3 linked regions of the Arabidopsis thaliana genome follow. The protein of the gene in region 2 interacts with the protein of the main gene of each other region in a pairwise test. Each region holds a gene or a part of one and is shown on either strand. Other genes may lie near its edges. The genes, in order: AT4G22830, AT1G03660 and RTH.

The links.
Region 1: the proteins of AT1G03660 (region 2) and AT4G22830 interact in a protein complementation assay, tested with the Arabidopsis thaliana proteins (one large-scale study listed by BioGRID).
Region 3: the proteins of AT1G03660 (region 2) and RTH interact in a protein complementation assay, tested with the Arabidopsis thaliana proteins (one large-scale study listed by BioGRID).

Annotation. Positions count from the first base shown.
Region 1 is NC_003075.7:11,987,489-11,995,439, forward strand, and holds AT4G22830 (YCF49-like protein), read right to left. Parts: upstream 3,941-7,951; 5' UTR 3,920-3,940; coding exon 3,814-3,919; coding exon of another isoform or gene 3,756-3,813; coding exon 3,518-3,755; intron 3,247-3,517; coding exon 3,168-3,246; intron 3,094-3,167; coding exon 3,025-3,093; intron 2,922-3,024; coding exon 2,808-2,921; 3' UTR 2,576-2,807; downstream 1-2,575. Other genes in the region: AT4G22820 (A20/AN1-like zinc finger family protein), read right to left, coding at 383-913; AT4G22840 (Sodium Bile acid symporter family), read right to left, coding at 4,148-4,219, 4,296-4,378, 4,472-4,725, 4,823-5,075, 5,153-5,346, 5,444-5,568, 5,832-5,917, 6,026-6,188; AT4G22850 (SNARE associated Golgi protein family), read left to right, coding at 6,706-6,957, 7,288-7,524, 7,798-7,951.
Region 2 is NC_003070.9:909,729-917,679, reverse strand, and holds AT1G03660 (Ankyrin-repeat containing protein), read left to right. Parts: upstream 1-3,871; 5' UTR 3,872-4,026; intron 4,027-4,084; exon of another isoform or gene 4,085-4,148; 5' UTR 4,149-4,329; intron 4,330-4,443; 5' UTR 4,444-4,514; intron 4,515-5,414; exon of another isoform or gene 5,415-5,597; intron 5,598-5,758; 5' UTR 5,759-5,920; coding exon 5,921-6,244; 3' UTR 6,245-6,370; downstream 6,371-7,951. Other genes in the region: THM1 (thioredoxin M-type 1), read left to right, coding at 1-40, 377-690; AT1G03670 (ankyrin repeat family protein), read left to right, coding at 1,458-2,142, 2,224-2,771, 2,841-3,458; AT1G03650 (Acyl-CoA N-acyltransferases (NAT) superfamily protein), read left to right, coding at 6,577-6,820, 7,199-7,431.
Region 3 is NC_003074.8:18,949,403-18,957,353, reverse strand, and holds RTH (RTE1-homolog), read left to right. Parts: upstream 1-3,552; 5' UTR 3,553-3,712; exon of another isoform or gene 3,713-4,259; 5' UTR 4,260-4,293; coding exon 4,294-4,560; intron 4,561-4,644; coding exon 4,645-5,073; 3' UTR 5,074-5,281; downstream 5,282-7,951. Other genes in the region: AT3G51050 (FG-GAP repeat-containing protein), read right to left, coding at 1-129, 224-526, 621-686, 787-912, 995-1,201, 1,288-1,341, 1,457-1,552, 1,669-1,764 and 5 more; TRX1 (thioredoxin H-type 1), read left to right, coding at 5,399-5,488, 5,893-6,015, 6,100-6,231; AT3G51020 (metal ion-binding protein), read right to left, coding at 7,133-7,425, 7,510-7,585, 7,677-7,709.

The sequences.
Region 1 (7,951 bases), on a different chromosome or scaffold from region 2:
TTACTGAGAGTTTAAAATGGGAAAGACACTTAGGGGGAAAGCGAACTGAATAGTGGGTCGATGGTTGCCTTGCCATGGTTAACACTTAACACTATCCCTTCTTTCGTCAAAGGTCTATTGGTAAGATTACTTATTTTGTTTATGATGTCTATATTGAAATTGTAAACATGACCAAATTTTTTTTGTAAAAGTGAGATGAGTCAAACTCATTGGCAATTTAGTTTAAGAACAAACTTCATCGATTCACTTTATTACGGAACCAAATTCATCATCCTCTATCCCTTTGGAAACAATCCATTAAAACCATCCAAGACAACCCCCAAATCGGTTCAAATACAAATGAGTAATTACCACCAAAATACTTAGAAAAAACTTCCATATTTCAGAACCTTTGAATTTTATCAGCCTTAACCACAGGATTAGCTTTGGCAATCTCTCCACGTCCAACTTCTTTGAAATCAAAGCTGCAATCATGAGTCTCCGGGTACCGATGTTCGCCGCAGAAAGTGCTCCCGCATTTGCACTTAAACCCCATGATCCCAACCTTCTTGTTACAACACAAACACCGGTTGGTTCGTGCAGGTCTCGATGGCTCGTTCGCCTCAGGAACCGCCGAGGAAGATGGCTCGGCCGAGACAACAACAACTGCCGCCTTTTCGGGTTTGGGTTCCACAACAACAGCAGGAGGTTCTGCTATGAAGAGACTACGAGGAGGAGAAGGCTTGAAAGATTTTTCAACAGCAGCTTTAGCAACTGCTGTTTGAGCTTCCTCAGCACAAATGCCTCTGTAACATTTAGAACAGAGATCCATGTTTGATGGTGATCCAAAGAAACCACATCCTTTAACACATAGCTTTGGCTCTGAAGCTTGCGATTGCGTGAAGCTTGTGCTATCGTTTTGTTCCGATCCCATTCTTACTCTCTTGCTTTTCTTCTGTTACACCACATAAATTCAAATTAAAATTTTACCACTGCGATTATTGACAATATACACGACAAGAAGACAATAGATGAGATTAGTCAGACCAAAGATTCCTCAATGTCAGAGGATCTTTTAAGGTTGTCGGGTTTTTGAGGATTAGATCCATAACAAAAGTACAACTATATTATTGACACAGATCGATTTTGTTTTAGCTACGATAACAACAATTTCGTCATCAAATTATGCAATTAAAAAAGTAGATCTGAGTTTCCGAAACACAAATACTAAGATAACACAAGAATCTAATTCAGATCGGACAAGACACAGAATCAACTAAATCAATCAATCAATCAAAAATACACAAGACAAAGGAGATTGGGAATTTTTACCTGTAGAAAACGGAGATCTCTTTCTTCTGGCGATTTTAAAGAGAATTAACAAACAACGATTCACAGTTTGTGTTTGTTTCTGATCTTCGGAAGTAATCTTCGTTAGATGATTTGTTCTTAAATCGATAAGAATTGAGAACGACAAGTCTTTTTCGTTAATCGAGAACAACAAGAGAAAAATTAGAGAAAAACAGAAACACGTAACTATGGAGGAACATACATGTGTATATATTTATATGGTATGAGTCACGCTACGGTTTTCACTTTTTTTAAGTTGTGTTCTTCTACACCTCCTTATTGTACACTTTCGTAATCTTAACCGTGCGATTCTTTTGGCTGACCTAATCTGACGGTTATAATTTATCATCGAGCAGCTAAACGGAATAATAATGGCACTGTTTTGTAAAATTTCCAAAGTTATGAAGTCAGAACTGTACTTTCGTAGCTGACGTGTATATTTCCTTTATTTTTGAATTCTGACTTTCCATTTTTTTATTAATTGACATTTTTTATCCAGTTTGATCCAAAAAAAAATGATGTAGGTTTTTTTTTCCCATAATAGGAGTACAAACTAATAGGTAAAATTAACAAATTTAAATGTATAAATGGCCTTTGGGGTTGTTTAAGTAATGATTAAGATGGTATTATTGGTGGACTTTTGGGGAAGATAAAGATAAGATATGCCTTCTTCATCACGCCCTGGCTTGGTCTAAACACGATTAACGCGTTGTCAAGATTTAAGTGGAACTTGGTATCTTATTTTAATAATTCGAAAATTTTATTATTTTAAACTTATGTACTTACGTTCATTTTTTTTCTTCTTATTAAGATCCTAACCAGAAATAGCTCAACCACCCCACATTTTTGCTTATAGTTTTTAACTTCAAGAGATTCGGATTTAAAAAAAAAAAAAATTGTCGTACTGTCCCACGTAAAGATTCAATTTTGTGTGTGACAGATGTAAGTTATACACAATGATTTTCTTCAACTAACTAGATTGAGTTTGTTGGCATGTTTTACTATATATGGTCTCGATTTAAGATGATATAACAAAACAAGATAATTAGTTCAGATAATGTTAAACGTTCAATATCTGCATTTTGAGTTAAGATAATCTCAATATCTGCATTTTGATGTCTACTTTTATTTATAATTTTAGCCAAACTTGCCACACTGGGAAAAACGTTATCAGTTTTGGCACTTTCTTTCTTCTGTTTTCTTGATCTCATTTATACAAAAATGGAGAAGTTCTTATGATCACGTAACCAAAATTTATAATTTAATTCAAACTCTAGATTCTGGATAAGACTAAATCTGTGTAACTTGGGTTACTGATATAGGTTGAATGCACATGGATCTTCCTCATATAAAGACTATATAATATACTTAAATCGTTGACATAGAATCTCATAGAACTTTTCAAAGGGGAAAAGAATCTTAGTGATCCTCCAATTAATAATTCAATTATACTTTGCTCATATTGATCGGTTTAGCCATCATGGCTTTTCAGAGACTTCAATTTTGGATGACAACTTGTTGATCCGAAAGGCAGCAATGCAGAGAGTGATATTACCAAACACCGTTAGTGCTGCCTGAAGAGCGACCAACACCTGATAATGCAGTCCAACAATTACACCATTAAGTAGGAGTGAAGAAGCAAACGAAACATATCACAGACTTATAGCTAAAAGTTGGAGTCAAGAGTTTCTTGACCTCAAGAGATTCATCGTTGTAGAAGAAATGCCATGTGCATGCACAGAGAGCTCCACCAAGCAAAGGTACCTGATTAAGAACAACCAAAAAGCTCAGAAAAATGAAATCATGTAATCTAGGAAAACGGCTTAGAGCTTTCTCACCATTCCCCATGAGAGACCTTTCCAAGACTCATAACCCTTTCTTTCTCCATACTTCCATACCAATGCCATCGCCGTAATCCTTTAGTAAAAACAACACCAGAATTAGAAAGACATTACATTTTTCTTGTTTGTTAGCTCCAACTGCATTTCAAACCATAATGAGAGAAGCTTAATCTACATTGTGAGTGAAAGATCGAGACTTTATATGTAGATGAAGCTTCTCTCATAATGATATCAAAAACTCGAAAAACCCACAACATCAAATACTCTCTTGTGTCACTATAGATCAAATGTCAAATGTTTTCTAAGTGAGAATTTCAATCAATAAAGCAAAGGAAGAAGAAGAGAACCATTCGACAACGCTGGAAACATGAACGGCCCAAGTGGGTAAAGACAACGCATTGGACGGTTCGCTTAGCTGAAGAGAATCCACCACCGCCGCCAAAGCAGTAGCATCTGGTCCCGCCGTGATGAAAGCAGCCGCAACCAAACTGGTTCCGATAAGACCCGACAGCGCAACCGGGTCATGAATTAAACTGCGGCTTCGGATCCGAATTACAGGTTCGTTAGAGGTGGTGAGAGAAGAAGCTGGACGGCTCTCAGAATGAATTCGCCGGAAATTGGGTTTGGCGCAGCAGAAAAGAACGGTGGCTGTTGAAGCAATCGCCATGGCTGAGATTTTTCTCCAATTTCCAATTCCCAAGTTCTGGTTTAATTTTAAACCGGTTTGCTGTTGAACCGTCTTTTATCATTTTCACAAACAAAATTAAACTAATCGGTTTATTAACAAATTCTGGTTTTTCTAATTACTTCCCATCTTTGAAGTTGAAGAGAAAAATATAAAGACAAAATGGAGATTAGTACATTAAAAATCTCAAATTCTGTATTGAATTATTTATATTACAAGAAGAATTTTCCAATTATTTGTAGTACATATATATATGTATAATCAAAATGTGGAGTGAAACAAAATCAAAATGTTAAAATGTGTTACTCTTTTCCTTAGACCAGATCAAAACGAGAGTGAACCCCATCAATGACATTACCACCGTCTGCAAAACAAAACAAAAATCTCTATAATCATCATCAATAAAAGATTATGCTATGTCAAAAGGATATGAGACTTACAGATATAGCAGGAGGAATCCCCACAAGAGGATCTTGAAAGAACTTAGTAGCAAGCGCTAGAGCCAAAAGGCTACTCTGCATTCCTGATATATTCACAAACACATTTCTCTTCTCAAATCTTTAAACCAAATTGTACTTTCTTGATAAGATTTTCCAATACCATAAAGAGTTAGTACCAGTTTCATAGGACAATGTTCTTTGCATGGCTTTAGCGTCTGGAGCGTTTCTAAAGACAGAACCGGTAAGGAAGTATCCAGCGAGGAAAGCTGAGAGATGAAACATTGTTACTAGTAACAATATGGTGGCTCCAAATGGAGACATGACCGAGTTTATGTTCAATGCGAGTGGTGCTCCAACGCAGCAAGCTGTGTCGAGAACCGATAGAATCGGGAGAAATGGTCGGATTGCATTTGATACTTTTGGGAACAACCTGTAAAAGAAGAAACAAAAAGGAGATAAAAATGGTTATACTTAGAGAAACAACTTGTGGTTATTTCTAGTTGTAGGCTTGTAGCTATATCTCTCACTTGTTTAGTAGCAATCCTGCAGCGATTGGTGCGATTACAACCTGAAGAATGCTGGATATCATTCCTTTTACATCAACGGGTAGTTTCTTCCCAATGAGCAGGAGTGATAGCATCGGTGTGACAAGAACCGCAGTAGCGGTTGATAGAGATGTCATGACGATGCTAAGAGGTGCCAATGCTGGATCAGTTAGGAATGTCGCATAGTTTGACAACTGAGCTCCACTAACACATGATACCAACATGATTCCAGCACCTGAGAGATTGAGAAAGATTGGTTAATGTGAGAGATAGGTTAAGAGTCTTGAATGATGAGAGACAGGGAGCTTTTACCAATTGGAGTTGGGAGTTGGAAAAGAGAAACAGCAGCTAGGCCAAAGATGAAACCTAGGACAGGCTTTACGAGATATTGTCCAACATAACCGAGGAGGATAGCTTTTGGTCTTTTGAAAGCTTCAAGAAAGTCTTTCTCGTTTGAATTGATACCAACCGCAAACATCAAAAAACCTAAAGCGGGCACAAAGTACCTAAAATAACAGGAGAGTAAAGAAGAGCTTTTTAGCAAACCTCATGTCTACAATTCAAAGTCTTAGATCAATTTGACCTTGTTCCAATGGGAAGAACCTCGACGTAAACCAAGTGAAAGAAGGAGGATAGATAAGAGCTAATATTGTACTCGCCAACACTACATGAGGAAGAATTGAGTTTGCTTTCTTCATTCTATCCACTATAGAAGGCTTCTCAATAACCTGCAAGCCACTTACTAGATTCATGTTGGTTCTCGGAAGTAACATAAAATTCTTAACAACTGAAATCATCAGCAAACGAAGAACAAAGTAGCAAAACTGTGATCCAGGGATGATTTTTAGCTAATCAGATTCAAAAGTAGGATAATTAACAAGTCTTCAATAGTGCAAAATCACATTTTGACATTAAAGATGACACATTTTGAGAAGACTATTCAAACCCAACATAACATAGAATGGAAAAGGAAAGATCCCATAGCGCACACCTTGAATGGATCAGCTCCAGGATCCAAACCCATCTCCGAGAAATTATCAGATGCATATCTACGCCACAAATTCCTCGATCCGCCAACTGTGTATATAGTAGGTTGAAGAAAACCATGAGAGAAGAAAGTGTAAATTTTGCAGGTACCCAACAAGCATAAACGCCTGAGGATCGATGAGAGTAAGATGAACAAACCTTGAGAGATTGGGTCGATGCGAAGTGGAGAACTCAGAGAAGTGTTCGAGAAGATGTTGGGCGGGAAAACTTGAATCCGTTGACTGCGATAAACAGCTCGTGGTAGAAGACGAAGTGTTGACTTTAGGTGCAGGGTCTCTATTGGAGTTGTGATCACGCTCATTTTTTTTCTTTGGACTTTGTGATCTTTCAGATTCTTCAGAAGAAGTGGCGAAACTCTGAGAGTTCTGGGAAATGGAAGAAAGAGGGAGAGATTCAGAGAATCTGGGACCCGAGAATCTGTCGCATCATCAACCTAACAAAACCCGACCCGACCCAGTTAGAGTTTAAGTTTCTGGAAATGGCCCACTGGGCTTTAAGATAATGTATATTTCAAATTATGATTTTCTTATTTTAAAACTGATATTTGGAATATAATGTGTTGTGTAGTGAGAAAGACGCAATTAATATACTTAAGTTAGGGTAATAAAAAAATCGGTACAAGACTACAAAGCAAAGACACAAATCAAGGAGAAAACTTCCACAAATTGTCTCTCTTTCTTTCCTACACACCAATTTGTTTTGTGATTCTTTCGATTGCATTCTTCTTTTTCGAATTCCCGATCACTGGATTTTCCCGTTTAACCGGAAAATCCAGTGGATTAGATTTTACCCAGTGTTATCTTTTTGGATTGGATTCGATGACTGTTACGGAGGACGAAAAACCGGTTCTTGAGCTGCTGGTGAGAGTTGAAGACGACGATGAGAAAGGGCCTTATGTGAAATTGAGTGAGGTTTTAGAGAAAGGTCAAGAATCAGAGCAGGAGAAGGAAGAAGAAAAGACTGATTCGTCGCGGTTTTGGTTTTGGGTCAAGCTTTCTCTTTTATTCGCCTTTCTTGCTGCATTGGCTGTTGTGGGTTACATTTGGATCGGTCCATTGATCATGGATAAGGTTTGATTTTAACTTCCATCATCAGATTCAGTTTTAGCTTTATTTGCTCTTGCATGTGTCTCAAAAAGTTTAATTCTTTGTCTGATTGAATTCTTTAACTCATGATTATTCACTCTTGTGGAAGATTCTAAGTAGTCTTGAGGAATGAGGCTGATCTAGTTGCGTATAGTCTGCATGCTTGTAGTCTGACTAGATTTGATGTTGATGCTTAATGTATCTATTAGTATTCATGTATGATCAAAGAGTTCTTGCATTTGAGCTTGTTGTATGTGTAATGTCTTTTACAATCTTCACTAACAAGGGGAATTATCTACTTGCCTGGTTCTGCAGGAGCTTATACCGCTTATACAATGGGAGATACGAACTTTTACACATCCTGTGTGTGGTCTTCTTGTTTTTGCATCAGTGGCGATATTTCCAACTATACTTCTTCCATCTACACCATCAATGTGGATTGCTGGGATGACTTTTGGTTATGGCTATGGCTTTCTACTTATTATCTCAGCTGCAGCTGTTGGTGTTTCGCTACCTTACTTTATTGGACAACTCTTCTGCCACAAAATTCAAGTATGTGTTAGCTCCCTAAAGCTGCTTCCTTTTCGCTTGAATTTGTCAGAGTATCCAAGTTTTAATCATGATTGAAAGTTCTGAGGTAGGTTTAGAAAATACGAAGCTGCTCAATACATGACTCTAAAGCTTGGTTATCTTGGTTTGAACTAGGATTAACATTGTTTTGGTTTCCTCAAATGATGTTATAATGTAGTTGCATTTGTGAATGTAACTGTGTGAAATGTCATTTTACTGAATTGTGTTTGTCTCTTTTTTCTTGTTATTCTATAGGGATGGCTAGAAAGATATCCTGATCAAGCAGCCGTATTAAGAGCTGCTGGTGAAGGGAATTGGCTTCACCAATTTCTATTAGTAACCTTAATCCGGATTTCTCCATTCCCTTACATTCTTTATAACTACTGTTCTGTAGCAACTCGTGTTAAGT
Region 2 (7,951 bases):
CGAGGCGTTATCTGTGAAGCTCAGGACACTGCTACAGGAAGTATGTTCTCTCGTCTTTGTAAATCAATGCTATTTCTCGATTATGCGTTTTGTTTCTGGGAATTCTTATGGGTTAACTCTAATGGGGCTCTCTCTTAGTGTCTATGAAATGACTTCCATGTTCAAGTAGTGAAATTGGAAGACAACTAGAAAAAGGTTTCTTCGGATTTGAACCTCTTTGTCATGTTATTTATGCACATATGTATTAGGATCTCTAAGTATCTATCTATAGAAACTCAAGATGCTTGTTTGTTGGATTTGTTATCCCTTCATTCATAATTCTACACTCATGGTGAGTCATTAATCTTGGTTTTTTTTTGCTATATGATCCATGCAGTTCCAGTGGTCAACGATTCAACATGGGACTCTCTAGTTCTCAAGGCTGATGAGCCTGTGTTTGTCGACTTTTGGGCACCATGGTGTGGACCCTGCAAAATGATTGATCCCATTGTCAACGAACTCGCGCAAAAGTACGCCGGCCAGTTCAAGTTCTACAAACTTAACACTGATGAGTCTCCTGCAACCCCTGGCCAGTATGGTGTTAGAAGCATCCCAACTATCATGATCTTTGTCAATGGTGAGAAGAAGGATACAATCATCGGTGCTGTCTCTAAAGACACTTTAGCAACCAGCATCAACAAATTCTTGTAATGAACTACTAGTCACTGTTCTCTTTTCTCTGTATCTCTCGACTCTCTACCTTTTACCTATCTACTCATCACTGTTCATCTAGACTTGTATGATAATATGATGTCTCAGGTTTTCAGAATTTGAAGTCTACGAAAACATTTTATTATTGTTACCAATTTACACGGTTAGAACTTTGAAGAGGCCTGGTCGTAGGGGCTAAAATTCTAATCTCTAACTAACAACATTGAATACAATTGCAAAACTGAGATAAGGTCAGAGCATTTACACGCACAAACTTACAAAACTTTGTGATGACAAAAAGGTCTGATCTTTAGAAGAACCTTAAGGATACTGTTCTAATGTCGGATTACCGAAAACATTGAATAACATTGCGTAACTGAGACAAGGTCAAAGCATTACACACAAACTTACAAAACCTTGTGATGATAAAAGTTTGATCTTTTGAACCTTACGGATGTTGTTTAGAACTAGAATAAAAGCGACGCTAATCCTCTTCACGTCATCAAGAGAATATATCTCTCACATTTATATCTCTACATAACCTAAGAAGTAATTCAATCTACCCAGTACTGCGCATAGATTCTCTCTCTGTTCGAATCTGTCTCTCTGCTTCAAGTAATTCTCACTTTTTCTTATGCTGCATTAATTTAAAGTTATTTAGGTGGATGTTTATGTCGTCTAATATTCCTGAAGTTTTAGGATTATCAAATCTTACTTATTCTTTTTGATCAGGAGATTTTAAAGTGAAAGTAGCACTGAACAAGAGTATGAAGTGTGACAGTAAATCTGAAACAGTAAGCTCCTCGTCCACATCTGGCTCCCTTTCAGATCCAGATCAGTGGACTATTTTCAAAGACAAGGATGAATCTGAGATTATGAATCCAGCGATTTTGTGTGCTGTAAGAGCAGGTGACAAAGTCTCCCTCCTGAAAAGGATAAACGATGACGTAAAGGTCACTCAACGACTCGTAGACAATCAAGGGAATTCAATACTTCATATTGCTGCTGCTTTGGGTCATGTCCATATAGTGGAGTTTATAATCTCTACATTCCCAAATCTTCTACAAAATGTGAATCTGATGGGTGAGACAACTCTTCATGTTGCAGCCAGAGCAGGCAGTCTCAATATTGTTGAGATTCTTGTTCGATTCATTACAGAGTCTTCTTCCTATGATGCGTTTATTGCCGCTAAAAGCAAGAACGGAGATACTGCACTACATGCCGCGTTGAAAGGAAAACATGTAGAGGTGGCTTTCTGCCTAGTAAGTGTGAAGCATGATGTATCATTTGATAAGAACAATGATGAAGCATCTCCATTATACATGGCTGTAGAAGCTGGATATCACGAGCTCGTGCTTAAAATGCTTGAATCTTCATCTTCCCCATCTATACTAGCTTCGATGTTCAGTGGAAAATCTGTTATACATGCAGCAATGAAGGCCAATAGAAGAGGTTTGTTTCTATGTTTGTTCAACCTTGTACGCCAAGTGTTCTTTATATGTTTTAATTATTTCTTGGTCATTGCTTTGACAGATATCCTAGGTATTGTTCTTAGACAAGATCCAGGACTTATTGAATTACGCAACGAAGAAGGAAGGACATGTCTTTCCTATGGAGCATCAATGGGATGTTATGAGGGAATTCGCTATATACTAGCAGAGTTTGACAAAGCAGCTTCAAGCCTTTGTTATGTCGCTGATGATGATGGCTTCACTCCTATTCATATGGCGGCAAAGGAAGGACATGTCAGAATCATTAAGGAGTTTCTTAAACACTGTCCTGACTCAAGAGAGCTACTTAACAATCAATGTCAGAATATCTTTCACGTTGCTGCCATAGCTGGTAAGTCGAAAGTTGTCAAGTATCTTTTAAAACTTGATGAAGGGAAAAGAATGATGAATGAACAAGATATCAATGGGAATACACCGTTACACCTAGCCACTAAACACAGATACCCGATAGTTGTGAATATGCTTACATGGAACGATGGGATTAACCTCAGAGCACTCAACAATGAAGGCTTTACAGCTTTAGATATTGCTGAGACGATGAAGGACAATAACGCTTACGTACTTTACAAGGTATGTCAAATTTGAAGATTCATGTAGTTAATGATAAAGTCTCATGTAACTTTTTTTATTGGTTTACAGAGATTGATTTGGATGGCTTTGGTATCTGCTGGAGCACCACATGGCCCAAACCTGATTCCCTTGACTGTGTCACAGAGTAGCAAACAAAGTCCAGAAAGATACAAGGATAGTGTCAATACTCTTATGGTGACTGCAACACTCGTAGCAACCGTGACCTTCGCTGCAGGTTTGACATTACCCGGTGGTTACATGAGTTCTGCTCCACATTTAGGCATGGCTGCATTGGTCAATAAGTTGAATTTTAAGGTATTTCTGTTGTTGAACAACATTGCAATGTGCACTTCTGTGGTAACTGTAATGGCTCTAATATGGGCACAACTGGGTGATGCACTTCTGACAAAGAAAGCTTTTCGACTAGCTTTACCACTTCTGTTAACAGCTGTTGTATCAATGATGATGGCATCTGTGGCTGGACTTACTCTTGTGGTGAGCGATCTCCCATGGCTTTCCCATCTTGTATTAGCCATAGATTCAGCCTTCTTGGTATTCCTGATGCTACTTATCATTCCTTACGCTTTCTCGTCTACAAGACATGGCTTTCTCAGACATATCTTCTACTTTCCTTATTTCTTGATGCTTTTGGTTGTTAGCGAAGGCAGCAACAACATGGATGGTTAAAGAATGCTCTGTTCTGTTCTATTCTGCTCTGTTTTGTATCATGGATGATGGATGGTTAGTGTTCTGTTTGTTTTTAACAGTTTTTGTATCTCACGAGTTTGTAATTGTGGTTTTACTAAGTAACCACAAAAATTGGTACAGAGACAAATATGACCGTTGGCTGTTGCAAAGAGCTCACATGCATGATCCCGACTTTGCTCCTCTCGCTTTCAAGGCCAAATTCTCTGTTTCAAAAATAAGAAACCTCAAATAATTTGTCTTGATAAATTGTTGTTACGCAGTAAGATACAAATATGACCGTTGTGAGGAAATTTCCTTTTCTTTTTTTGCAGCCTAATTAAAATTTCCTTTTTCTTAACCTAGTCGAAAACAAAAAGGAAACAATAGAAATTTCCTTTTTTCTATTGAACAACGTTTGCTTATAAATACTCTTCTTCCTTGTAAAATAACTAATTCTTCATTCATCTTCTTCTTCTTCTTCTTCTGCAAAACGAAAACAAAAGAAACCATCTTTCATTTCTATTTTTCTTCGGAGGATCTATGGATCGATTGGATTTTGACTCAGTCGGTACGTGTTATCTGAAACTATTTTGGTGTGAATCTCTTTTGCTTTTAATTGTGAGTTTCGTTGTTCTGTTTAATCTTTAATAGGGTTTGTTTTGGATTATGTTTATCTTTGATGGTTTGAAGTTTAAGAAGATTTAGAACAATAAACGTCGTCGGCGTTTGATTCCAGTCATCGCCGGAGAGAACAAGGCCCAATCGTCGTTTACAATCACCGTTCTTCCTTGTCCAATTCCATTAGGGCTAGGGATGATGCAGTAACACCAATCTCATAAAGTCATAGTCCTCTCTTTCTTGACCTGTAACGGTAAGTAATTTCCAAAATCCTCTATGCTTTTCTCTTTTTTTTTTTTTGTCTACTGTCTCTAAATTTAGCCCTAAACCAAATATTCACTCCTTTCTTCGTTTTATTCAATTTCAGCCTATTGAAAGTTATCGCCTACTAGATTTGTGGACAAACACTGTTCATCAACAATTCAACACTTATTCCATGTAAGTTATTATTATTATTATTATTATTATTTTTTTTTTTTTAACACGATTCCATGTAAGTTATTTCTTCTATTATTCGTTCATTTTTTAAAAATAATAAATTACAAAATGTTTTTGTTTTCAACAAAAAAATAAAAGTATTTTCAACAGTAGTTTTTAATTTTATTTAACAAACTGTTTTCGTTTACACATATTTAAATTTTTAACAATTGTTTCTCTTCTATTAAAAAATATTTTTAAACTTATATTTTTATATAACTATTAAAACTATAAAGGTTTTTTGGATAAGTGTTAAATTTTTGAATTTTGTGTAAACTAATTGGACATAACATCCAAACCCCTAAGAGGTGTCCTAGGTTCAATATGGTTTACACTTAATTTAAATTTTTAATACTTATCATCATTTTATTATAAAAAGTTTTTAAAATTATATTTTTATATAACTATTAAAATTATAAGGGTTTTTTGGATAAATATTAAATTTTTAAATGTTATGTAAACTAATTAGACACAACATCTAAAACCCTAAGAGGTGTCCTAAATTCAATATGGTTTACACATAATTAAAAATTTTAACATTTGTTTTTAATTTATTAAAAAATGTTTTTAAAATTATATTTTTATATTACTATTGAAACTATAAGTTTTTTTTTGGATAAATGTTAAATTTTTAAATATTGTGTTAAACTAATTAGACACAACATCCAAACCCCTTAGAAGTGTCCTAGGTTCAATATAGTTTACACATAATTTAGATTTTTAACACTTATTTTTATTTTATTTTAAAATGTTTTTAAAATTATATTTTTAAAACTATAAGGTTGTTTTGGATAAAGACAAAAACCCAACCTTTGAATCATCGACTTTTTGCGTTGGAGTCAACGACCTTAATTCAATTATTTAATTGCTTGCTCGGCAAGCTAAACATCGTCGTTGATTGGTACGCACATCCAGACTTCTCCTTTCTTATTTTGATTAAGTCAATGACTTGTTAGGATTAAATATTTTGGTTGCTACAAGTTCAAAACTTCAACATTATTTTCTTCGTCTTCCTTCATCACCTAGATTTCAAAGCGTCTTAAGGTAATCTTTGAGTGTGTATTTTCAAGTTTAAGTTCTAACTATTCTTTTTGGGTTTCAATTGGAAAAAGAGAGTAAGTTTATGATAAAATTTCTGAATCTGCTTTTTAAAACATGTTTTTGTGAAGTCCTATCATCATGTCTCGTTTAATTCAATCTTTCAGAGATATAATAAGCTTGGATATGGCTTTGGGATCTGCTAGTTCACCAAATGGTACACAACCAATTCTCTTGAGTGCTTCACAGCGTCCCAGAATATCTAAACTACAAGAACGTATCTTATTGCTTATGGTGGTACAACAATTGTAGCAGTTGTGACATTTGTTATGGGTTTCACATTTACAAAGATCTACACCAGTTCTGCTCCAGATTTAGGCATCACAGGTTTGGTCAAGAAAGCAGTGTTCATAGTTTTTCTGGTTTGCAATAGCATTCCAGTGCTCTTGTCTGTCATAGCTACAATGAATCTTATTTGGCCACAACATCTGGGTGATATTCCTCTGATACAGCAAGCTATGAAACGAGCCATGGTACTTATCATGTTTGCTTTTTGGTCTATGGTTGTTGCATTTGCATTTGGAGTTTGTCTTGTATTGATGCTCCTTCCATGGCATTCCTTCCATGTCTTTAGCTCCAAAGCACATAAGTGATGTGTATGTAGGTTTGTGAACATTTTCCATTACACATTCAAGCTCTTGATTGTTTCTATCTGCAATCTTTCATAAGTTCGTTCACAGTGATTGATCAAATATGTTGTCTTTTAATTTGGTGTGGTCTCTGATACAGTTCCTCTGTTTCTGGGGACTAAATTGTCACAAAAGTTAAATTTGTGGGTCAAATCACAATTTCAAATAGTTTCTAAAAGTCGTCCCCGCCGTCGCTACGCACCTTCATCAAAATCAAATCACAATTTCCTTGGCTCACTCGCTCTCACCGGCTGCGAAACCAACGAGAGATTCCACAAAATCGAATCTTTTGTACAATGGACAAAGGAGTTGTGGTAGAGCTGATTAGAGGGTCGACCAGTTGGGCCAAAGTTGTGGAAGATATCGTGAAGCTGGAGAAGAAAACGTTCCCTAAACACGAATCTCTCGCTCAAACTTTCGATGCAGAGCTGCGTAAGAAAAACGCCGGTTTGCTATACGTGGATGCTGAAGGAGACACAGTAGGCTATGCCATGTATTCTTGGCCATCTTCGCTTTCCGCTTCAATCACCAAGCTCGCAGGTATAGACAAACGTCCGCCAACTGTTCGATGAAATTACTCAGTGATAAAATTCAGAAAATATAATTTCGTTAGAGAAGAAGTGGAATTATTCTGCCAAACTTCTACTGAAAAATCTTTCAACCATTTGATAAATTAACCTGTAGATTATTATATAGTCAAGGACCAATGATTCTGGTAAATTCGAGAGCTTTCAATAGAAATTCTGACTAGACAAAGCCCTTGTTCTAGCTTTGGTTTTGCATGCTTAAAGATTAATGGAGATAGCTCATAAGTCAAGAACACGTATGGAATTTTTCTTATTAGGCAAGTTAAGAGCAAAAACATTAGGAAGAATGTATCCCAAGTTTACTTTCTTCTGTTGTTTTGGAATCATGTAGTGAAGGAGAATTGCAGAAGACAAGGTCATGGAGAAGCATTGTTGAGAGCGGCTATCGACAAGTGCAGAAGCAGAAAGGTGCAACGGGTTTCACTTCATGTCGACCCCACGAGAACTTCTGCGGTGAATCTGTACAAAAAGCTTGGGTTCCAAGTAGACTGTCTAGTGAAAAGCTACTACTCGGCTGATAGAGATGCTTACAGAATGTACCTAGATTTTGATGACTCTATTTAGCCCAAAAGGATTGAATCATTGGATTTGGGGTTATATATGTATTCCCATATCTTGGCTTGGGCTTGATATGCCTTGTACACATTCATTGATTACTTCTCTACATCAACATATTACATATGTCTAGCGAGTTTTTGATATTTTACGATGCAAGATGAAATCATCTTGGGACCATCAACTTATCAACTTCTTCACAATATAGAATGAGATTTTTAATCGTTTTCATGTTAGGAAGTGGTGTAAGATTTCATAATAGAAGATTTTTAATCTTATCATCGATGGTCGACCAAAATGAGAAATGGCATTTGATAGTGTTTTGAAACGTTTTTGTAAGTATTATAATGTAATATTTTATCAAATAATCCCAAGCGGGGATAGCTCAGTTGGGAGAGCGTCAGACTGAAGATCTGAAGGTCGCGTGTTCGATCCACGCTCACCGCATTTTTCTAAAACCTTTTAATCGATTTAAACGACATCGTGTTAAAAAATTAGGTCGTAAGAAAGGCCCATTATGAAAAGATCC
Region 3 (7,951 bases), on a different chromosome or scaffold from region 2:
GGTTGGGACCACCGTCCCTGATTCAGTTAAACCCGATGGAGACGGGAGATTCGACCATGTGGCTTCTGTCTGAAGCTGCCATTGCCAGACTGCGTCGTGGCCGTGCACATCAGGCGTGTATGATGTCACCTGATACGGAGCAGTGATGAGCTATTATTAAACGAAATTCAAAGTTGAAGAAATTAAGAGATTGTATCGGCATATATAGAAAGGAAAAAAGTACCTCTCCACGGTTTGTCAAGAAGATTACATCTCCGTGACTGCCTTTGCGGTGTTTGTGTCCATCATCTCTGGGGATGAGAATGGGAGTTGCGATCTCCAGAGTAGAGGTGTCTCTTGCCTGGGCGAAGTGTCGTGAGTAATCTCCTCCATAGTGCAAGAAGTTAAAAGGGGAGTGATGGCAGATCGAGACGTTAAAGAGCTGTTCCCGGATGGGAACGCCTGAGGTTGCCACTGCCCAGCAAGGCTTCAACACTTCCATTGACCCGCTCACTACAGTTCTCTCTCCAACATTGCCTCCGACAGTCTAAGGTGGATAGAGAATATTTATGGTCGTAAAAATTGAAGATCCATGAGAAGGCTAATGAACCAAAAGCGGGAGTAGTGTTTGATGTGTGTACCTGGACATGATCGAGAACACCATCTCCGTTTATGTCGGCGTGAAGTCCACCTTCAAGTAGAGAAAGCTGCGAACAGGAAGAATTTATAAACGCTGACTAAGTAAGTAATAGGTACGTGAAATAGTAACCTTGTTCATGATCTGAAGGAACAGCCACTAGGACCAACCTTGCAAAGTGTTCGACCAGTAGGCAAATGAATAGCTTCAATTCCTTCCTTTTGATGAGCCACAACAACATTAGGAACCCACCAAAGCTTCGTGTAATTAGTTATCGTCGGAATGTATTGCATACCCTGCATCAACATGTTGCTTTGCTATCATAAACAAATATTGGTATTTTTGATGTGGGTAGTTCACGTTTTATAAGAGCTTCACCTTCTTGGGTTTTGCCGAGCCAGCATAGCGTGCAGCCTTTCCAATCAATTTTGGAATCTTTCTTGACAAGTCCTTTCCAGCGGGTGTGTGTTCCTCAGGTTTGTGAAACGGATAAGCTGTAGACTTACTACCAGCCTGCTTCTTCAATGTTTTCCTCTTGTGTCGCCTGAAATGAGCAAGCTTCAATAATGTATCTTCACGTCGGTCCTGATGCAAAGACAACAGTGTACTTTGAAACAATTTTTCTAATATATTACACTAACGAAGCATGTAGTAGGAGGCATAAGACTTACCCAGCGATGGGGCATGACACTAAGAATTGATTCTCTAAATTCCCTGCACTCAAACTTCAGTCCAGCAAAGCTTTCAAATTATGATAGTGCAATAGAAATCTCTTCCGAAAGAACGAAGGAAAGGTTAACTATTTCGCTCAATAATCAATGGAGAACGAATTAATTTTACCTCTCCTGGGTGACGGCTATTTAGAGCATGCACATCAAGCTTGTAATTGTGTTGTGGAATTAATTGTGATGCATCTGAGGTGTGAGCTTCAACATCCTAGATGAGAAGAACGAAAAAAATCTATCAATCTGACCACCAAATTTGTTGCAGGTACGAATGTAGTTAAGGAATATGCAGATAAAGAAGTGAGCAGAAAAGAATAAATAACTGACATCAGTCTTTTTACTCCATCGAAGAAGGCCAGTCTTGCCAGCAAATGCATAGACAGAAAAGTGACGCAAGTTTATGGCTCCAGAATCTTCAGAGGCCTGAAAGGAAGCTTAAAATTCTTCTAAACTGTCCAAACAAAGTTCTTATGCACATTGGAACATGTATAACTACAAACGAATAGCTCTTTCTTCAGAATTGTTCAGTTCTAGAGAAAATGTATAAGGAAACTATAAATATACACAGCTACGAAACAGTCCAAGGAAACTATCATATAGTCGTACCTGATTCTCAGTAGCACTTCTTCTGTGTTGATCAGCATTTTGTGCTGTCATGCCAAGTTCCTCAAATGGGTCCATGTGATTCTAAAACGAAAAGAATAATCTATTGGTAACATATGGAAGATACATAGGAAATCAACAGAGGAATTTTTCATCCTACATACATATGGCTGCATCTCCATCCGTCCACCAACAATAACCAAACCCGTATCACCATGCTTCAATGTGTAATTGCTTATCGAAATTGCTATCTCTCTATGGTGTGCATTATGTGGGAAATCCTCCTGTCATTCCACCAACAAAGGTAAGCAAAAGGAGAATCAATACTACTGAACCAAGACAAACTTTTATGCAGAACGTTAGACAAAGAACGAAGAAGATAAAAACCTGCAGATTCGTTTCCCACAGCTTTTTCAGGTTGTGATCAAAGCAGAGCACAGACCAACCTGAGGTAACAACGACCACAACCTGCTTCTGGGGAGTTCCATTTTTATAGTACCTATCAATAACACCTGTGGCCATGGCCACAGCACGTCTCCCTGACGCAACACGGATCTTGTCAGGCAAAAGAGTGATTTCCGCAAGAACACGTGCTTCACTAAAACCTTCATCCACACGCCTGGAATGAGGCTCCAGAACCTAATCCAACAAAACATCAACAGTTTCAGAACTTAATCCAACACAGAACAGCAAACCATAGAAGAGAAATGCATAATCACCAAGCCTCACATCATTAGTTCGACAAAAAGGCTCTAAAACAATAAAGAGCAATGCATAAGCACTGAACTATAAGCTGCAATCATTCGTTCTAACGACCGAAATAGCCAGATAGACTCTATAAAAATTGGCGAGAAAGATCGAAATCAGAAATGTTTTTACCTACAAAAGTTAGAAAATTTCATATGATACCTGAATTTTGGCATCATTAGTAGCAACGAGAACCTCCTTCTTTCCATCACCATTAAGATCAGCTACAATAGGTGGTGGGAGACGATCAGCTTCGTATTTGACTGGGTATTCATCATACAAATGAAACCATGCTTCTTTGAACGCAAAATCACCCTCGTGCTGCAAAAGTCATCAAGTCCCACATATCAAGTAAACGCACCATTAATAAGAAAATTGAATCCATTGGTTCCATCTGGAAATTCTACAAATTCGCTAACATGACACTACTTACGGATCGAATTAGCAGTCTAAGTTCTACCCACAAAGGAAAATTCAAAGCTTTCTCAAGTAACAGATCGATCAATGATTCTAGATGTTCAGCTACAATTTGATTGAACTAAGAAAGAATAAGAAGACGATTAGTGTGTAAAATCACCTGAAGAGTGAAGAATATAGCAAATCCAGAGAGCATCAAAATAGCCAAATCGCGTTTCCTCATCTTTGCCCTAACCGCAAGCAGATGTATCAATGGCAGATTTGCATCAGTAGGTAGCAGCAATCTCCTTACCAGAGCAGAGAGAACGATGAAGAATAGTCGACAACTTCAAAACTACGCCGTATAGATATATCAGACGTTTAATAGAATAACATCCTGACGTTTTTGTTCTCTTTGACCGAACGTTATGTCGTTTATACTACTATCCTTGAAACGGTGAAGATATCCGAGAGAGGATTAGTTTAAACAAGGAGCCAAACACGTTCTTTAGTGTCATCGTTCGTAAAATTGGGGCCGAGAGAGAAACAAAAATTTCCCAGGAAAAAGGCAGTGATTGAAGATTGTATTAGATCCGATTAATCGTCTTCCTGGTCGCTTGAACTGGTATGTATGCTTTGATCTATTCTTTATGAAAAAGTTTCGGAATCAATGTCTATGAAGATGCTTTGATGTTGACTCGTTGCTAGTTGGATTATGTATCTTTAATGGCGTTTTCTGGATCCCTCGTTCGCCATGTTCGTATGGATTCATCGTTTAGTGTTTAAGACTCGCGATTCGTAGAACTACGAGAATTGTTTACTTAGCTTTTCTATGTAGTGGTCGTAGTGTTTTAGCACAATGTGTTGATTGAATATCAATTAGACGACTCTTGTTTCAAGTTTATCCAGTAATCAATGAATTGGTAGTAGCTTGGTATATGCAAAAATCCAAAGCAGCACAGGGCTAGAAGGAGCTGCTTATCGCTTCTGGAAGGCTCAGTCCCAACTCGGACTTCCATGATGGGATGATATGCATTTATGTTTTGGGTTCGATGTAAATGATATGCATCAGCTATTCGAGTATTAAGAACAACTTTTACATATCAAATCCAAGTGCTTTATTGAATCTTACTTACATGGGGATCACTGGACGTGTTGTTTTTTGCTTACAGAGAATCAAATAATTGAGCTCAACTGGATTTGGATATGGGAGAGACAGCAACAGATTCAGAACATCGCATGATGATCGGATTATCGGATCCTATGAAAATTGATCCCAAAAGAGACCGGTTTCCATGCTGCATTGTTTGGACACCTCTTCCCTTCATTTCATGGCTGGTTCCCTTCATCGGCCACGTCGGTATCTGCAGAGAAGACGGTGTCATCCTCGACTTTGCAGGACCTAATTTTGTCTGTGTTGATAATTTTGCATTTGGAGCTGTTTCTCGATATATTCAAATCAACAAAGAAATGGTAACGTTTGCAAGATGCCGGCTTTCATTTTCAACCTTGATACAAAGTAACAATTTATTCATATTGGCCTTGGATTTGAATCAGGAGTCATCTCGTTCTTCCAGTTCTGGTATGTTCAATGGTGAGAGGAGATATGAGCAAGAAGAAGATAGTCATGAGAAAGAGCCAACATGGGATGATGCACTGAGAAAAAGCACGCAAGAGTACCAACATCACTCATATAACATACTCACATGCAACTGTCATTCCTTTGTAGCCAACAACCTGAACCGTCTATCTATAAAGTCAGGCGGATGGAACGTGGTGAATCTCGCGACACTAGTGCTTTTCAAGGGACGTTGGGTGAACAAAACGGCTATAGTAAAGTCCTTGTTGCCTCCACTCATAGTCTACACTATAGGAATCTTACTCGGTGGTTGGACTTTCATTGCCTCCTGCTCGATTCTAGTGGTTTTGCTTACCGGGTGGTTCATCATTGGAACGTATTGTTTCAAGAAACTGATTCAGCTGTAGATTTGAATCATAATGTACAAATGATGTCTACAAAATGTTTTTTACTTTTTACGATGGATATTTACAACTTTGCTTTGTGTGTGGTTAATTTGTTACAAGTAAAACTTTGAGGAGTAAAAGTGTGAATATTTATGATTTGGGTAAAGAAGGAAAGTAGCAATTGGTGGGTGTAATTATGGGAAACAAAATCACGCGTCGAATAAAGTAGAAGAGAAAAACTATTGACGGGCAAAATTGGGATTGGTAGGTGACGCGCATGCTAAGTAATTGAAAAAAAAAAAACACAAGAGGAGAAGAAACAGAACAGAGAAGAAAAAGAGAGAAGATGGCTTCGGAAGAAGGACAAGTGATCGCCTGCCACACCGTTGAGACATGGAACGAGCAGCTTCAGAAGGCTAATGAATCCAAAACTCTTGTAATCTTCTTCTCCCAAATTTCTTGATTTCATTTTGTTTTTGATGAGATATGGATTTGTTATTATTCTTGATTTGGTTTGTTTTGGGTTGCGTTTTTAAATAGAGTCTTTGATCTCTCATACTTAAGCAATGTAATGATATGATTCTTTTTTGTATGAATTCATGTTTGAATTTTATGACAATTCTTGGATCTGCATTACCATAGATTAGATCCTAGGATTGGTAGGAGATCATAATGACTTATATTACGAGTCATGTTGATAATTCTATGAAACTAAGGGATCCCTAGAAAAATGTTTACGCTGAAGATAGATGTAATGTTCACAATTCTTACGATATGATATGTTTTTAGTGTAAATGGTTTTTCAATGAAAATGATTCATGATTGGTTATATTGTTGAAGGTGGTGGTTGATTTCACGGCTTCTTGGTGTGGACCATGTCGTTTCATCGCTCCATTCTTTGCTGATTTGGCTAAGAAACTTCCTAACGTGCTTTTCCTCAAGGTTGATACTGATGAATTGAAGGTACATTCACCAACATTTTTCCCTTCTTCTTGAGAGATATTGTTTTCTTCGATCACAATCTCTTTTATGGTTTTGTTGGAACAGTCGGTGGCAAGTGATTGGGCGATACAGGCGATGCCAACCTTCATGTTTTTGAAGGAAGGGAAGATTTTGGACAAAGTTGTTGGAGCCAAGAAAGATGAGCTTCAGTCTACCATTGCCAAACACTTGGCTTAAGCTTTCCACTCTTATATATCTCTTAAGATGTTGGATTAATTGTTCTATTACTCTTGACATGTTATAACTTGTTCCCCTTTGTTATGGTTCCGGTCTATAATCTCATCTGACTATTTGAAGCTGAAAATTGCTTTGCTTATCCAGTAAATCAATTACTTTGTGACTTCAAAGTATATTTGAAAACTAATTTCTACATTATGTCCTCAAAAAAAAAAAAAATATTATGCAATGGACGTGAATAAAGAGAGAGCATTTTCTTAAAGGTGATGCTTATTCAGAAGGTCATTTGTGTTCTGAAAACGGTTCGAATATTGGACAAGTGAAGCTAGGAATTGATCATTGGCAATGTTTCGATACGGATGGCAAATATGTACAAATGAAGGATTCTGTTTCTTTCTATGTAGTATTAAATTGCAAAAGGATTTACACAAATAATAAGCTATTAAAAACAAAATCCATTTGCTACTAAGAAATATTATCAGAACGTTTAATGGAAACTCAATCTGATAAAAAAAAAATCATTTCGTCTAAGAAAAGAGAGAAATCCCTCCACGAAATCATTTTGAAAGATGCTACCGAAGCAATTGTTTATCCATAGATATCTGGTAAATAATGCACCTTAACACAAAAATAATGCAAAGCTTTGAAACATTCCATTATGTTATGGTTTTTATAATTAAGAACCCTAGCATCAATGAATACCATCGGATTCATACAAAAAACACCAAAAAGAAACACTGAGAATATCTCTTCTGCTTATAAAACGCAGAGAGAATATCCATCCCGCTAGTAAAAAAAACAGTTTTGTCGGATACAAGCTGAAAACCCTAATTTAGGTAAAAATAAATAGGATTAGCTCGATCTCGATATAGTTATTATATAAGCATCATAAATAAGGGCTCTAATAATAACCGTAGTTATTATATCCGCCGGAATATGGATATTGTTGATGGTAAGGTTGCATCGTCGAGCCAACAGGGTAGTACCCTCCCCATTGGCCGGGGTATGAGCTCTGACTGTAAAAACTGGGATCATGATGATGATGATGTTGATGATGTTGCGTTCCGGTTTTCACAAAAGCCATTTCAGCATCTTTTCCTCTCTTTGAACCCATTAGTTTCAATAGCTTGTTTGGATCGCCATGACCCGTGACGTATGCCATTCCTTCGTCCACGTCTATCCAAAAATTCCCTCCTAAACCATTATCATAAAAAGAATAAGAGATTGAGTCGACAAAAATGTGCGATATATATATATGCTTATAGAAAGAAAAAAAACCTTTGATTTTCTTGAGGATTTTGGTCATGCTCTTGTGCCATTCGGGAGAGCTAGTGTTCACTTTAAACCCACAAGTCTGCAAGAAAACATTCGAATATGTAACGAATTAGCAAAGGATAAAATGAGTAATATGATTATGAGTATGTAATGATAGATTGAAAACGGACCAGGCTTGTAGATGTACGACTTGACGAAAACATGTTTGTGTATGAAGAAAAAATAAGAAGTATGAAGATGTTTATGCAAATGAACGAGGATGGTGTATATATATTTATATTGGTTTGAAGATTACAATTTGGATTTTTAATTTATTTTTATATGGTAACTCTATCTATATATTACTAAAATGATTCCAGATTTCGAGTTAGTGTCGTTAATGGTATAATATTGTATTTCCTTATGTAGTGTACCCACTAATCCAAATTCTAAAATCGTTATAAAT